Linked DNA regions of Caenorhabditis elegans. The protein of the gene in region 3 interacts with the protein of the main gene of each other region in a pairwise test. Each region holds a gene or a part of one and is shown on either strand. Other genes may lie near its edges.

The links. Proteins that work in one complex are often made in the same cells at the same time.
Region 1: the proteins of eat-17 (region 3) and rab-8 interact in a two-hybrid assay, tested with the Caenorhabditis elegans proteins (one study listed by BioGRID).
Region 2: the proteins of eat-17 (region 3) and rabn-5 interact in a two-hybrid assay, tested with the Caenorhabditis elegans proteins (one study listed by BioGRID).

The regions. Positions count from the first base shown.
Region 1 is NC_003279.8:3,682,337-3,685,616, forward strand, and holds rab-8 (Ras-related protein Rab-8A), read right to left. Parts: upstream 1,751-3,280; 5' UTR 1,724-1,750; coding exon 1,694-1,723; intron 1,647-1,693; coding exon 1,492-1,646; intron 1,445-1,491; coding exon 1,384-1,444; intron 1,325-1,383; coding exon 935-1,324; 3' UTR 554-934; downstream 1-553. Other genes in the region: D1037.1 (Protein SON), read left to right, coding at 2,466-2,552, 2,628-2,911, 2,967-3,280.
Region 2 is NC_003281.10:5,862,819-5,867,094, forward strand, and holds rabn-5 (FYVE-type domain-containing protein), read left to right. Parts: upstream 1-1,734; 5' UTR 1,735-1,738; coding exon 1,739-1,789; intron 1,790-1,838; coding exon 1,839-1,940; intron 1,941-1,994; coding exon 1,995-2,201; intron 2,202-2,250; coding exon 2,251-2,984; intron 2,985-3,337; coding exon 3,338-3,488; 3' UTR 3,489-3,721; downstream 3,722-4,276. Other genes in the region: dnpp-1 (Aspartyl aminopeptidase), read right to left, coding at 1-120, 170-587, 635-728, 780-890; eng-1 (mannosyl-glycoprotein endo-beta-N-acetylglucosaminidase), read right to left, coding at 3,722-3,938, 3,985-4,188.
Region 3 is NC_003284.9:16,413,834-16,418,727, reverse strand, and holds the start of eat-17 (Rab GTPase-activating protein eat-17), read left to right. Parts: upstream 1-1,887; coding exon 1,888-2,000; intron 2,001-4,894. UniProt on the Caenorhabditis elegans protein: Rab GTPase activating protein for the small GTPase rab-6.2. Required for grinder formation, which is the feeding organ that breaks down food.

The sequences.
Region 1 (3,280 bases), on a different chromosome or scaffold from region 3:
CAGATATCTTAATTCTGAGAATGCGTATTGCGCAACATATTTGACGCGCAAAATATCTCGTAGCGAAAACTACAGTAATTCTTTAAATGACTACTGTAGGTCGATTTACGGGCTCTATTTTCGAAACAAATTTTTGTTCGAATTGTGACAACGATATTCAATTTTCTTTAGTTTTTTTAAACGAAAAATTGGAGGAAAATCGAATATTGTTGTCACAATTTAAAAAAAAATCGTATCGAAAGACCAGCCCGTAAATCGACACTTCAGAAGGCATTTAAATAATTACTGTAGTTTTCGCTACGAGATATTTTGCGCGCCAGATATGCTGTGCAATACGCATTCTCAGAACTTAGCGTCTCCGTAATACTTGCAACGTTTTTCGTGTTTAACTATTCAAAATTGTGGTACTTTCTACTATTCAATGTCGCTGGTATATGAATCTGACTCTGCAAAATAGAAGCTCAGTAAAAAACTTCTAGAAAAAATTAATTTTAATTTGCATGACCGACAAAACCCCAATATTCGATCAAAATTCAGAAAATTCAAAAAACTTGGGAAAACATGCAATTTGGTTCATACATTCGCGAAAAAAATAAATCTGAAATCCTGAAAAGAAATCTCATCAGAATGCTGGGTGTAGGGGGGTGAATTGAATATGCGAGAGAGAGCGGACACAGAGAAATAGACGGGACGAAAATGGTAAAAACAAAGCAAGTGTTGGTTATTATGGTCAGAAGAGAAGAGAGAAGAAAAAAGGTTATTTTTAGAATTATAACCGTACTGCATACAAAAATGTGCGAAGGAGGAGTTTTTGGAACAGAAAATTCAAACGGAAAGAAAATATGAAAAGAGATATGGTACACTATTGAAGTTGAATTGAATTGAATCACAATCAACTTCGAAAAGGGCAGAACATGGCGAGAGAGCAATAAATTTAAAGCAAATTGCAGCTCCAGTTGCTGAAGAAGCTCTTCTTCTGTGTCCCCGATCCACCGACGTTCACACGACCCGTATTCGAAACTGATCCACCGGCACGCATCTCGTTCTGCTCCATCTTGCTCTTGATATCACGAGCCAGTGTGAAGAAAGCTTCATCAATATTCAGATTGGCCTTCGCCGACGTTTCCAGGAATTTCGTGCCGTACTCGATTGCGAGCTGCTCTCCACGGTCCCGCGACACTTCACGGCGTTCTTCAATATCACATTTGTTGCCGATGATCATCCTCTCGACATCCGAAGCCGCATGCTCTTCTATATTGCGAATCCAGTTTTTGATGTTTTCAAATGATCGCTCGTTGGTGATATCGTACACCAGAATGATTCCCTGAAAGATAAATTAATTAAAATTTGAAATTTTGTGAAATAAATTTTGATAAAACATGCCATAGCACCGCGGTAATAAGCCGTTGTGATAGTTCTGAATCTCTCCTGCCCGGCTGTGTCCCTGAAAAAAAATATTTATAAAATCGGATTTAATAAAAACTAGCTCACCAAATTTGAAGTTTGATTTTCTTCCCATCGAGCTCAATCGTACGGATTTTGAAGTCGATTCCAATTGTTGAAATGAACGAGTTATTGAACGAATCATCTGAGAACCGGAACAGTACGCACGTCTTGCCGACTCCACTGTCTCCAATAAGCAAGAGCTGTAAAACGATGTTTTCTTGACATCTTGGCATGCAAAAGTTCTCACCTTAAACAAGTAGTCGTAAGTTTTTGCCATTTTATTGGAGTGAGTGAGAGAAAAGCTCTGAAAATAGGAAAACTATAGAAAAGTAACGCGAAATCGAAGAAAAACAATTAAAATAAAGTGAGATTAAAGGTGCATTGAGTTTTTGACACTGATGGGTCCCGGAGCGAAAAGTACAAAAGCCTTTCATTTTTTTAAATTGTTTAAAAACTGTAATTTTATTTGTTTTGTTTTACTGTTTTTTAAATTTTCTTTTCAATTTTAATCGAAAGTTAAAAGTAAATGAGACTTTTAAATTGAATTTTCCAAGTTTCATGACCGCAAAAAATGAAAAAAAAAAAGAAATGAACAGATGTCACGCTGTGTGTGTGTGCTCAGTTGGTTTGAGGATAGCTGGTCAATATTGAAGGGTCATGTGAAGACGTATGTAATTAGTAATTCCCACACAATGTCCGCAAAGAAAGCGACAAATGAGTGTTGAGGAATAAAATTTGGAGGAAATTTCGCAATAAAAAGATTTGTTTTCACTGAGGGAATGAATCGATTAGACAGCTCACAAAGACATCGTGGTCACGGGCCTTTTTCAAAAATAAACTATTGGGAGGGGGCGAGGTGGTGGTATCGGTGCAGCAGGAAAACAAAACGCGCAGCGGCCACGGCCATGACGATGTAAAAACGTAAAAACGGAGCGTCGTTTGTATCCTCTTGTTTTGCAATTTGAAAAACTTTTTTTTAAACAAAAAATCACCTTTTTTCAGGTCAAAAAGTTCCAAGAATGGTCGATGGCGAGGGAATTACCCCGAAAACTTGCAGTGAAGACATCATTAAAGATCTTTTAAATGATGTGAAATCGTCGGAAAAAGTAAATTAATTTAAATTGTACTGGAAAATTTACAAATCGAATTATATAATTATAATTAATTATCATTATTTTCAGCCATTCTCAGTGGATAAACTAGCCGGATGCGATCAGACAGATTTTGTTGGGAAAAGGCCGAAGAAGCATCACAGGCACAAGTCGAAGAAAAGCAAGAAAGTTCGAAGAAGATCCAAAACTTGGTCTAGTTCAAGAAGTCGAAGCCGGAGCCGGAGCAGAAGCCGGGGGCGTAGTCAGGAGAGGAGAAGAAGCAGAAAGAGTAGGAAAAGCAGAAGCAGGAGCCGTTTAAAGCATAGGGAAGAAAAAATTGAGAAGAAAAATCTCGAAAAAGCGCCAAAAAATGAGTAAGTTCGAAAATAAATTCGAAATAAGTATTTAAACTAATAAAAATTACTACAGATTAATCCCGCAAGCGCCAAGTACCGAAAATGGCAAACCGAAAGAATTTAAGGAGCCGCCAAGGAAAGATGAGGCCGATGATCTACCGCTTGGCGCGGATTTCAGCACCCCTTTAGTGAAAAAAGAGACAAAGCTGGCTATTAGCATCACTACAGTTCTGCCAAAAGCCGAGAATAAGAAAGAAGTTGAGGATGGAGAAATAGAAGAAATTGCATATGGAGATGGAGATTTTAAAGAACCAGAAGGAATCGAAAAGAATTTGGAGAATAAAAATATATGTGAAAATGGAAATCTGGATAATTCTGAAAATGAAA
Region 2 (4,276 bases), on a different chromosome or scaffold from region 3:
ATGTTTCGTGGATCGGCAAAACCAGTAGACTCGGGTTTCTGTGGTGCATTGATTCCAGCAGCAGCGAAGGTTTCCAGAATCGGGCGGAGCTCAGTTTCCGTGTTTGGTTTGAATGTTGTTCTGAGAAATAAATTGCAAAATTAGGACGATAGTGACAAATTTCAAATACCTGTCGGTCTCCAAATGAATCGCCAAATTTGGAATGAAAAGAACTGGCTTTTTCACGTCGATCAGCTTGTGTTGAAGTTTCTCTCCATTCTTGACAATAACCAATCCAGCCACCGACAAGTCACGGTCAAACCAGGTTCTCCAGATTCCACCTCCGTAAGTTGATACACCAACTTGAAGGAATTTATCAGACTTTTGGTGGGAAATTGGTTTGACACGGAGGCATGGACTGTCAGTGTGTCCCACAACAATCGAGAATCCACTCCCTGGCTTGTAAGATCCTCCAACAGCGAATGCAAGAATTGCAGAGCGGTTCTTGGTGACAAAGTATTTGCTGGTTGGCTGAATGTCCCAGTGACCCGATTCTGGAAGCTCTGTGAAACCGGCTTGTAGAAGGCGATCCTTCACTTCTTGGGTGGCTGCAATTGATATACTTTTGAATATAAAAATAAATAATAAATATTACCATGAAATGGAGTAACTGCTTTATTCAGATAGTTGATGAACTCTTGTGCAGCTTTGCGGATCTCCGGAGCACTTGGTTTCAGAGCAGCGGCCATCTAAATTAAATAAACTTATTTATGAAAAGACAAAGAAAGAATAGTGAAAACCTTTTTGGGTTGATAGCTGGTATTGGGCTCAATTTCATGTTTTGGATAGCAGCCGCACACTACTTTCAATTTTTCGGAAATACGATTTTTTCGAAACGACTTCTTTGTCATGATTCAAACTCAAAATGAATTGAGCCCAATATTTTACTACCATCGGAGTGAAAATGAAAAAAGATAAGACAAAATGTTGCATAAAATTTGAATCTGGAATGATTTTCTATAAGCGATAAACGGTTAGTTTCTACTGGGCGAAAGTTCGAGAGAAGAATATGTGGTGCTGATTATCAAAAATGCGTTATCAGTGATAGTTATCAAGGTTTCTAATAGAAAGAATCAAAAATGAAGGAAAAGATAATGGAGAAGACATGAGAAAAGCGAAAAGATCAGGAATTATTTGAGGAAAGTTAGTGAAAAAAAAATTGACAGGAAAAAAACGTCGGAAAATTTTAGAAATCGAAAAGAAGAAAAGAACAATTTTTAACGTAGAGTAGTACTGTATTCAAGGCGCAACGCTTAAATCATTTTTTGGGTCCTGGAAAGAAAACTACAATAGCTGGAAATGTTCTGAACTTTGAATATAATTATAAATTTTATATATAAAATTTTGTTCATCTTGATTTTTCAGAGCGATATATTGTTTATAAATAGAATGATTTTTACTACAAATTTTTAAATTTTTATGAATAAAAAATAAATTAAACATATAATAACATTTTCATAACTCAACAGAATGAAATATGTTTATTTCACTCCAGAAAACATTTACTTTTCTCTTGGAAGTCGTTTAATGAAATTAATACTAAAACTGCTCGATTATTATGTTTAATGCTCTTTAAATGTGTCACCAAATGGCCTAGGTTTTCAACCTAGTCCTTGCCAACATTGTGATGAGACCTTTTTTATTTAATTAATCAAATGACTCATATATTTTTCGAATAAATCAAGAATTTTCTAGAAAAATGACAGAACCGTCGGCTAGCGAAGAAGTGTCTGCCGGAGTGAATGCAGAGGTAAGAGTGTTGCATTTTAATCGATAATTCAAAGACCCTTAAATTTCAGGAGCCGCCAATACCGTCCAAAAAGATTTCGCAAGTCTCACCGAATCCAACGCTTCAATGCGAAATGTGCCAGAATTATGAAGTGAATTTGACTGCATTACAGGTGAGAATCATGGGAACACGGCAAATATGCAAATGATTTTTGTTTGTTTTGCAGGAAAACGAACGAAAGTTAAAGGAAGAAGTGAAGGCGGCAATGGAGTTGAACGAAAGATATCAATTGGATTTGAGCAATGAACGAGACTATCGAAAAGAATTGGAAAAGAAAATGAACGAATTATCGACTAATTGTTTGAATCAGGTTAACGAGGCGGCAAAGGCAAATGCCAAGTCGGAGCAGCGGCTGGACGAGCTCAGTGCGAAGGTATTTTAAATAAATAAAAAGAATAACTTTTAAAAAAGCTTAATTTCAGCACGACAAATCGATAGAAGTATTCACTGATCAATTGAATTTGGCTCGTGACAAACTGCAACAAGCCGACGATGACTTTGTTACATTAGGAAAAAAGTACAAAAAGCTTCTCGGGTCCACACGAAAATCAGCACAAGAACTTCGGTCCGAGAAAATCGATATGCCAGCTGATCTTGATCAATTACAATTTATTTGTCTCAAGAATAGGGAAGAATTGATAGAAACTCGAGCTGCAAAAGAGCACACCGAGCAGCAGCTGCAGGATGAGATCACCGTCCTGCGAGCTCAGATTCTAGAAGAAAGAGCGCACAGAGAAGATCAGGAAGTGACATTTACTGCAGAGATCAGCAGATTGCAGTCGGAATTAGGAAAGATCAACACTCGAATGGTTGTTGCATCGGAAACAATTGCAGATCAAGATTCGAATATCAGACAAATTAGAGATCTTCAAACAACTGTCGGTGAACTTGAGACGCAGGTTCAGCAGGTTCAAAATGAGAGAGCCGCTGTTGAACAGACGGCACAGAACTACAAGCAACGGTGCACAAGTCTTCAACAAGAACTCGACACATCTGAAGTTGTGCAGAGAGATTTTGTGAAATTATCTCAAAGCCTCCAAATTCAATTGGAGAAGATTCGACAGTCGGAACAAGAAGTACGATGGCAATGGGATGATGATGTAGATCAATGCTCAAATTGTGATACATCGTTTGCTAGAGTTAAAGTTAAACCTCAGTAAGTTTTTGAAAATGGAAGTTTGAATTTCTGATAAAAAATTACAAGAAAATTATTTTCTTCATTTTCAAAAATAAATTTTACACTTTTCCAATTAAAATATGTCAAACAGAAGATTTTAAAAAGAAAAAAAATATATAGTGATTATGAATCAAGCGTTCGGTACCCTTTCTTAAAACGACCTAAAATATTTTTAAAAAAAGGCTTCGAAAAATAAAAAATCACGCATAGTTTTCCAGAAATAGCAGATTTTTATAAGGAAAAATTTTTAAAAAAGTGCGAAAAATAAGAGATAGCACTATTTTACTTTTTCATGGAATATTTCAGTCACTTTTATTTTTCAAATCTTTTAGCTGTCTTCATTGTGGTCGGATATTCTGCATGAACTGCCTGAAAGACACCGTTCCAAGTGGACCAAATCATCGACCAGCCAATGTGTGCAAAGTATGTCACACACTGCTCAATCGGGATACAAAACCATTCTTTGCAACGCAGGATAAGTAATAATTCATCTGGAATGCTTATTCTGTCGCTGATTATCCACAACTCGCCCTTCCAATTTCACTTTCGCCACCTTTTCCCGATTTTATATGTGCATCATCCGTGTGCTAGAATGTCTAGTCTTTTAATTCTTGTACAATGCTTAATCTATTCTATATACGTACATATATACCAGAAATTGATCTAAAATTGTGCATTAAAATTTGTTTTATTGACTTTTATGAAATTAGAATTATTTAATTAGAATCAATGGAAAAGTTTTCGATCACAGTTTCGTCGTTGCTTGATGTCAAGATGCTGATGGATTCCAAATTTCCTGGCTTGTCAATATGCCACGTGGAATCTCCGGTTTTGTCCATAATTTCAGATCTATTCAGAAGCAGGTCAATTGAATTGGAAGTAGTGCAAGTTATGGTCAGGGTACTGTAGTTGACAGAATCGAAAGTGAATAGTCTGGAAAAAATTATAATGAGTAAATTTTTGTATGTTCATAACTTACAGAAATTTTCGATTTCTGCCAAAAAGAGTGAGTCCTGTAGAGTCAATTACTTGGTGGCAGAAGGAGCTTAAAATTTGAGGCTGAAGCTGCACTGTGCTCAGGCGGTAGTGCCAATTTTGATCCATTCCAGTACAGAAGTTGGTGCCAAAGTTTATAGAAGTTAGAGGACGAGTTCGGATGTGTGGAAGAAGTTTGGACCAGAAGCTGGAATTAAATTAAAATTTCAATAAAACTTAAATTGTGGAATTTTTCTGAAAAAAATCCTAATGTAGAATTTTCTAGTTGGAAATAA
Region 3 (4,894 bases):
ATTTTCATATTATTCTACAAAAATAAATACTTGATACACTTACTTATATTTCAAAGTCTCTTTTTTACTCTCACATTTACCAATTCTAGACTTGCATACTGTTCGATTGCACACCTCCCCCCTCTTTTGATCTTGTGTTGGAGGCGCCCCCCGCGCGTTCTCTCCCCTCTCTTCTTTTCCGTCTCTCACTCTCTCGTCGCAACGGACCACCATTTTTTGATTCCGTTTCCCTCATTAGTCACTCTCTCTGTTTGTTTTCATTTCAATTTTTACTTTTTAAAGGTTTTGTTTTTATTTTCTGTTTTCTGTTTTCCGACAAACTTTTGACATATTATTTATGAATTGACTGTGCGGTTCTTTTTTAGGTTACGGTAGTTGGTACGGTAGTGTTTTATCAGTAGTGGATACAAAATTTGGAGAAAACCATATTTTCATATTTTATCCTTGAAACCCCTTAAATTTTCGAGCTTACTCCGATACTTTTGATTCTTCCGGAAAATTTAAAAACTACTGAAAATTTTTACATTTAAGTCGCACATTTTACTCTGAAACATTCTGAAATTTTATCATTATATATATATATATGATTTATCTAGTTGAACGTACAGTAATATCATACCTCCAGTAACTATTCATTCTGCTATTTTGTTCGCCATTCCACTCTTCTCTATTCTTCCGTCCCATTCGATTCTGATTCATATTTCGGTGTCAGGGTATCAACACCACCACCACAAATATTTGCAGGCGAAAGTTTTTGCTTTTTTTTTGTTCGCCTCTGCGACCTACTAATATCAAAATCTCCTCATCAAACAGGCCAGCTCGTTGTGCCACTTTTCAGTTAGTCATTTGGTATACAAATAAAAACAAAACCGATAAGATGCAGGGCCTCGAATTACTCGGGTTCTCAGTCAGTTAGTGTCCGTCGGCGGAAATGTGAAATTTTCTAAAATTAGAGAAGATTGGGTTTCGATAATTTTTTTTGTCGGGTTGTGGAAAATTGATTCGTCATGGGTAAAATCGTAGTAAAAGATCTCGAGATATGAAAAAATTGGAATTTTTCTATAAATAAAATGGATTACGGTATAGTACGGTAGAAAAACTACGTTTTCTGATGAAGGTCTGTGAAAATGATTTTCAACAAAATTAGGACCGTATAGGACCGAGCTATTGGATAACTTTTTTCCAGCTTATACAGTAAGAAGTCCAGCAAAGTTTTGATATTTGATGTAATCTCGTTCTGAAAGTAGATAGAATTAAAGTCCACTAGCCACACGTTGCACCTCTGTTTTGGCTTTCACAAATAGTATTATATAACCGTATAAATAAATAATGACATCAGTGTGGACGCTGCTCCAATCCGTAAATCTCGTCCCTCCCCTCACTCCCGCGCGCCTTGTGTTTCCCTCCGGAGAGCAAAACCCAGCGCGGAAACCAAGACGTGTTGAAAAACTAATAGTATGTCTTGAAGAAGCTAAAGCACATGACCATATTTGCTCCATTTCTGTGGGAAGAAGAAGCGATGGATTCAGAGACTCGCGGTTTGGTTGTGTCACGCCTACTTCGGACTGTGCGCACGGCCCGATCGCCGCCCGGTCTCTTGCCTCGCGTCGCTCCCTTCGCCTATCGTTCTCTTTTCGACTGTATGCTGTTTCGCGTCCTCCTCGCTACGACCATATAGACTCAATAGTGGCGACGGACGCGCAAAACACGGCTCTCGGCTCAAAATTTTTCCCCCTCCCCCGCTGAGCTCAACTCGGGATTGTTCGCCACTTTTCGACTGATTATCTCTCGATCAACACCCATACGACCAACAACAACAACAATAGAAAAAAAACAGCTACCAACATCAAAATATTTCACTTTATTCCGTAACTCTACATATTCACGATGGTGCCCTCGCCGGCTCTTGTCGGAACGCCATCAGTGTTTCCACATCATCAGTCTACGTCGTTTTTTCAAGAAACTGCTAGCTTCTTCAATCTAGACTGGGAGCGATTATGGTAAGAATTTTGGGATCATTTTTAAAATTGGAGGTTTTAGAAATTATATTTTTGAAATGGTCAGAACATTTCTCAATTCAAAATTTGAGACTCATTTTTTTCAAGTTCCCAATTGTGCTTAATCTACTAGTACTCAACTATCTTTCTAATAGCCTTCCAACTTTAACTGATCGAACTGTACCTCCTCTTGTGCTTTAGAAACTTTGTATTATTGGTCGTTTTAATCCTCTACGTCAAATTTAATACATTTTTCCTATTTCTGTGCAAAGACTTTGATTCAAGTAATCTATAGGGTGCTTTCCATCAATGTTTGATTTGAGTTTGATGTTTATTTACCAGTTTTAATTTGATCAACTGAACTTGGCCTACTATCCATCAATAGATTAGCCTTTTCTCTTGCCAATTAATTTTTGACTGGCTTTTAATCAAAAATCATTGTTCCAACTCTTCTCTTCATTCTTTTTTTCCTCTAGACAAAGCTCTTCACCCGTTTCGGTCCGTGCGCGGCGCCATTTTTGTTCTTCTCCTCCGATTGGTCATCGACAGTTTCCAAAAATATCCTGGCGCGGCGCCACGGAAAACCGGCGTTTTCCTGTATGCATACAGGAGGAGTGGGGGGGGGGACGAATCTAATTTTGGAACACTAGGTACACAAGCATGATGGCATTCCGTTGGCCGTGTGTCCGAAACCTTGACCAAACCAGGAAATTGTGTGATTGGCATGTTGGCAACGAGTTTTCCCGAGATTGAGAATGGAACAAGGAACTGATCTTCGAGCGCGCGCACAAAGTTAGGGACGACAACGTTCTGTTTGCTCGTGTTGAACTCACCGTGGTTGGTTTTTTTCCCTTGCAGTTTACTGCAGGGGCTAGCTGCTCCGAACGTGACAACACGAGCAAATATACGGGACCGAGGGGTCAGTCAGCGATAAATAGGTCAAGGCTTTGTGTAAATCCTCGAAACGTGGTGGTGGGGTTTGATAACAGTTTGATGAGTCGTGTACAGTTGGTTCGAGTTGAGATGCAGGGGAAGGTGTAAGCAATATTGCTATGTATTATAAATTGAAAGAAAAGGTCGATCCGTTCTTCATGCGCTATGCACTGCGGATCTGGGACTGCCCGGTGGTGCTCCCGCTGGGCTATAATTTAAGCCACGTCCTAGCCGGGGACTGTGGCCGATAATCCAGTTGTGGATTACTCCAATAGTGGCTGGATGTACCTAGGGGTGAGGCCGGACTTGAACTCGTGGCCTCCAGATTGCTTGCGTACCGAAGGAACTATCCTGCCCCTCTGGCTAATTTGAAAAACGCTAACAGCATAAGACATCGCAAACTTTGATCAATGTCGGCTGCTTTTACTATTTCGTTTTTCTATACTGGAAATAAGGTACAAACTGGCAAAGTAATAGTTTTTGCACATTGGCTTTGTAGAATAATAAGACAAGTTTCACTGAGACCTGAACTTTTCATTTTCCGGAGTTTTGATTTTTTGGAAATCGGAATAGTGTTAACAAGTTGTAAAATTTGCCACATTTTCAAAAGAAATTCCTCTAGGTTTAGATTTTATCCTGTTTTCTTTGAGCTACCATATACTATCGTGTCCTCAGGAACTCGTGAAACTTTGTACAAACCCTTTTCTCTGTGCGCTTCAGAAGGTAAAACTTCATAAATTTTCATTTTGTACTCAGATAGATGTAGAAATCGCGGCAAGACCCACTCCAAAAACATCATCGTTCCAAACTATGATAGCTTAAATTTTACCATCAATAGGACGGTATTCATCACAATTGCGACTGCTAACTCGCATCATCAATTGTATCAGCATTGGCATGCAACACACAGGAAAACATGTTTTGTATTAAAGCGGTCGGGTAACCTGTATACATCTCGTTTTCTCTGCCACCCTCCACTCTCTCACCATTTCCACGCGACGTCTTCTACGTGTGGGATATACTACAGAAGAACACAGGGAGAGAGAGAGATAGAGGAGGGAACACCGCCACCACTACGCAACAGTGCACAGGAAGGTCCACACACACCACACCTATCCTCTTCTTCCTTATTTATATCCTTTTTATTGATTGCGTGCGTGTTTGGCAATATCTGACCCCGACCTTTTTTCTTCGCCCTTTTTGTCCTCAGATCGCTTGATCTCACCTCAAAACTGACCGCCGCCATCCGTTCCTGTCAATTACACGTCTCGATGACTACTGACGACTTTTTTAATATTACAATTGGATTTGGTTACGAAAGCCTTTCTTTAGTTTGGAGTTTTTAGGTAATTGAGAAATGATTTTAAATAGGAAGTTTAGCTGAAAGTTTTTAAGTTTAGTTACAAAATTTAAAAAAAAAAAAATTTTTTCACTTGAAGTTTTGGCAACATCAAATTAACGAAATTTTATACATACAATTTGTAGAAAAAAAACATTTGTTTTTTTTGACGGCTTAAATTATGAGTGACTGAGTAATCGTAACTTTTTGACTAAAAATTTGAAAAAAAAAACATTAAAAAAGTTTTACTGTGATATTTGGCCATTTTAGCACAGTAGGTGTAGTCTCCAAAAAATTCACATAAATGTTTTTTTTTGTATTTTTCAATTTTGGTTGATTTAAAATTGAACTGAATATGAAATTTAGAAATTTGTGTAGATCTACAATGTTGAATTCAAAATTATAAACTAGAACAGTTTTTTTTCTGAAAAAATAACAATTATCATTTTTTCCGACAGTTATGATTATTTTTGTTTTAAACAATGTAGAAAGTTTTGAGTGTATTCTGAATAATTTTCAGTGCATCATTTTCAGTCAAACTTTATGTTTTTTCTCAAATCTCAATTAATATTAAAAGTATTCCCCATCCACGTGTCCCTTACAAGAGAACTGTTTTGTTATCTCG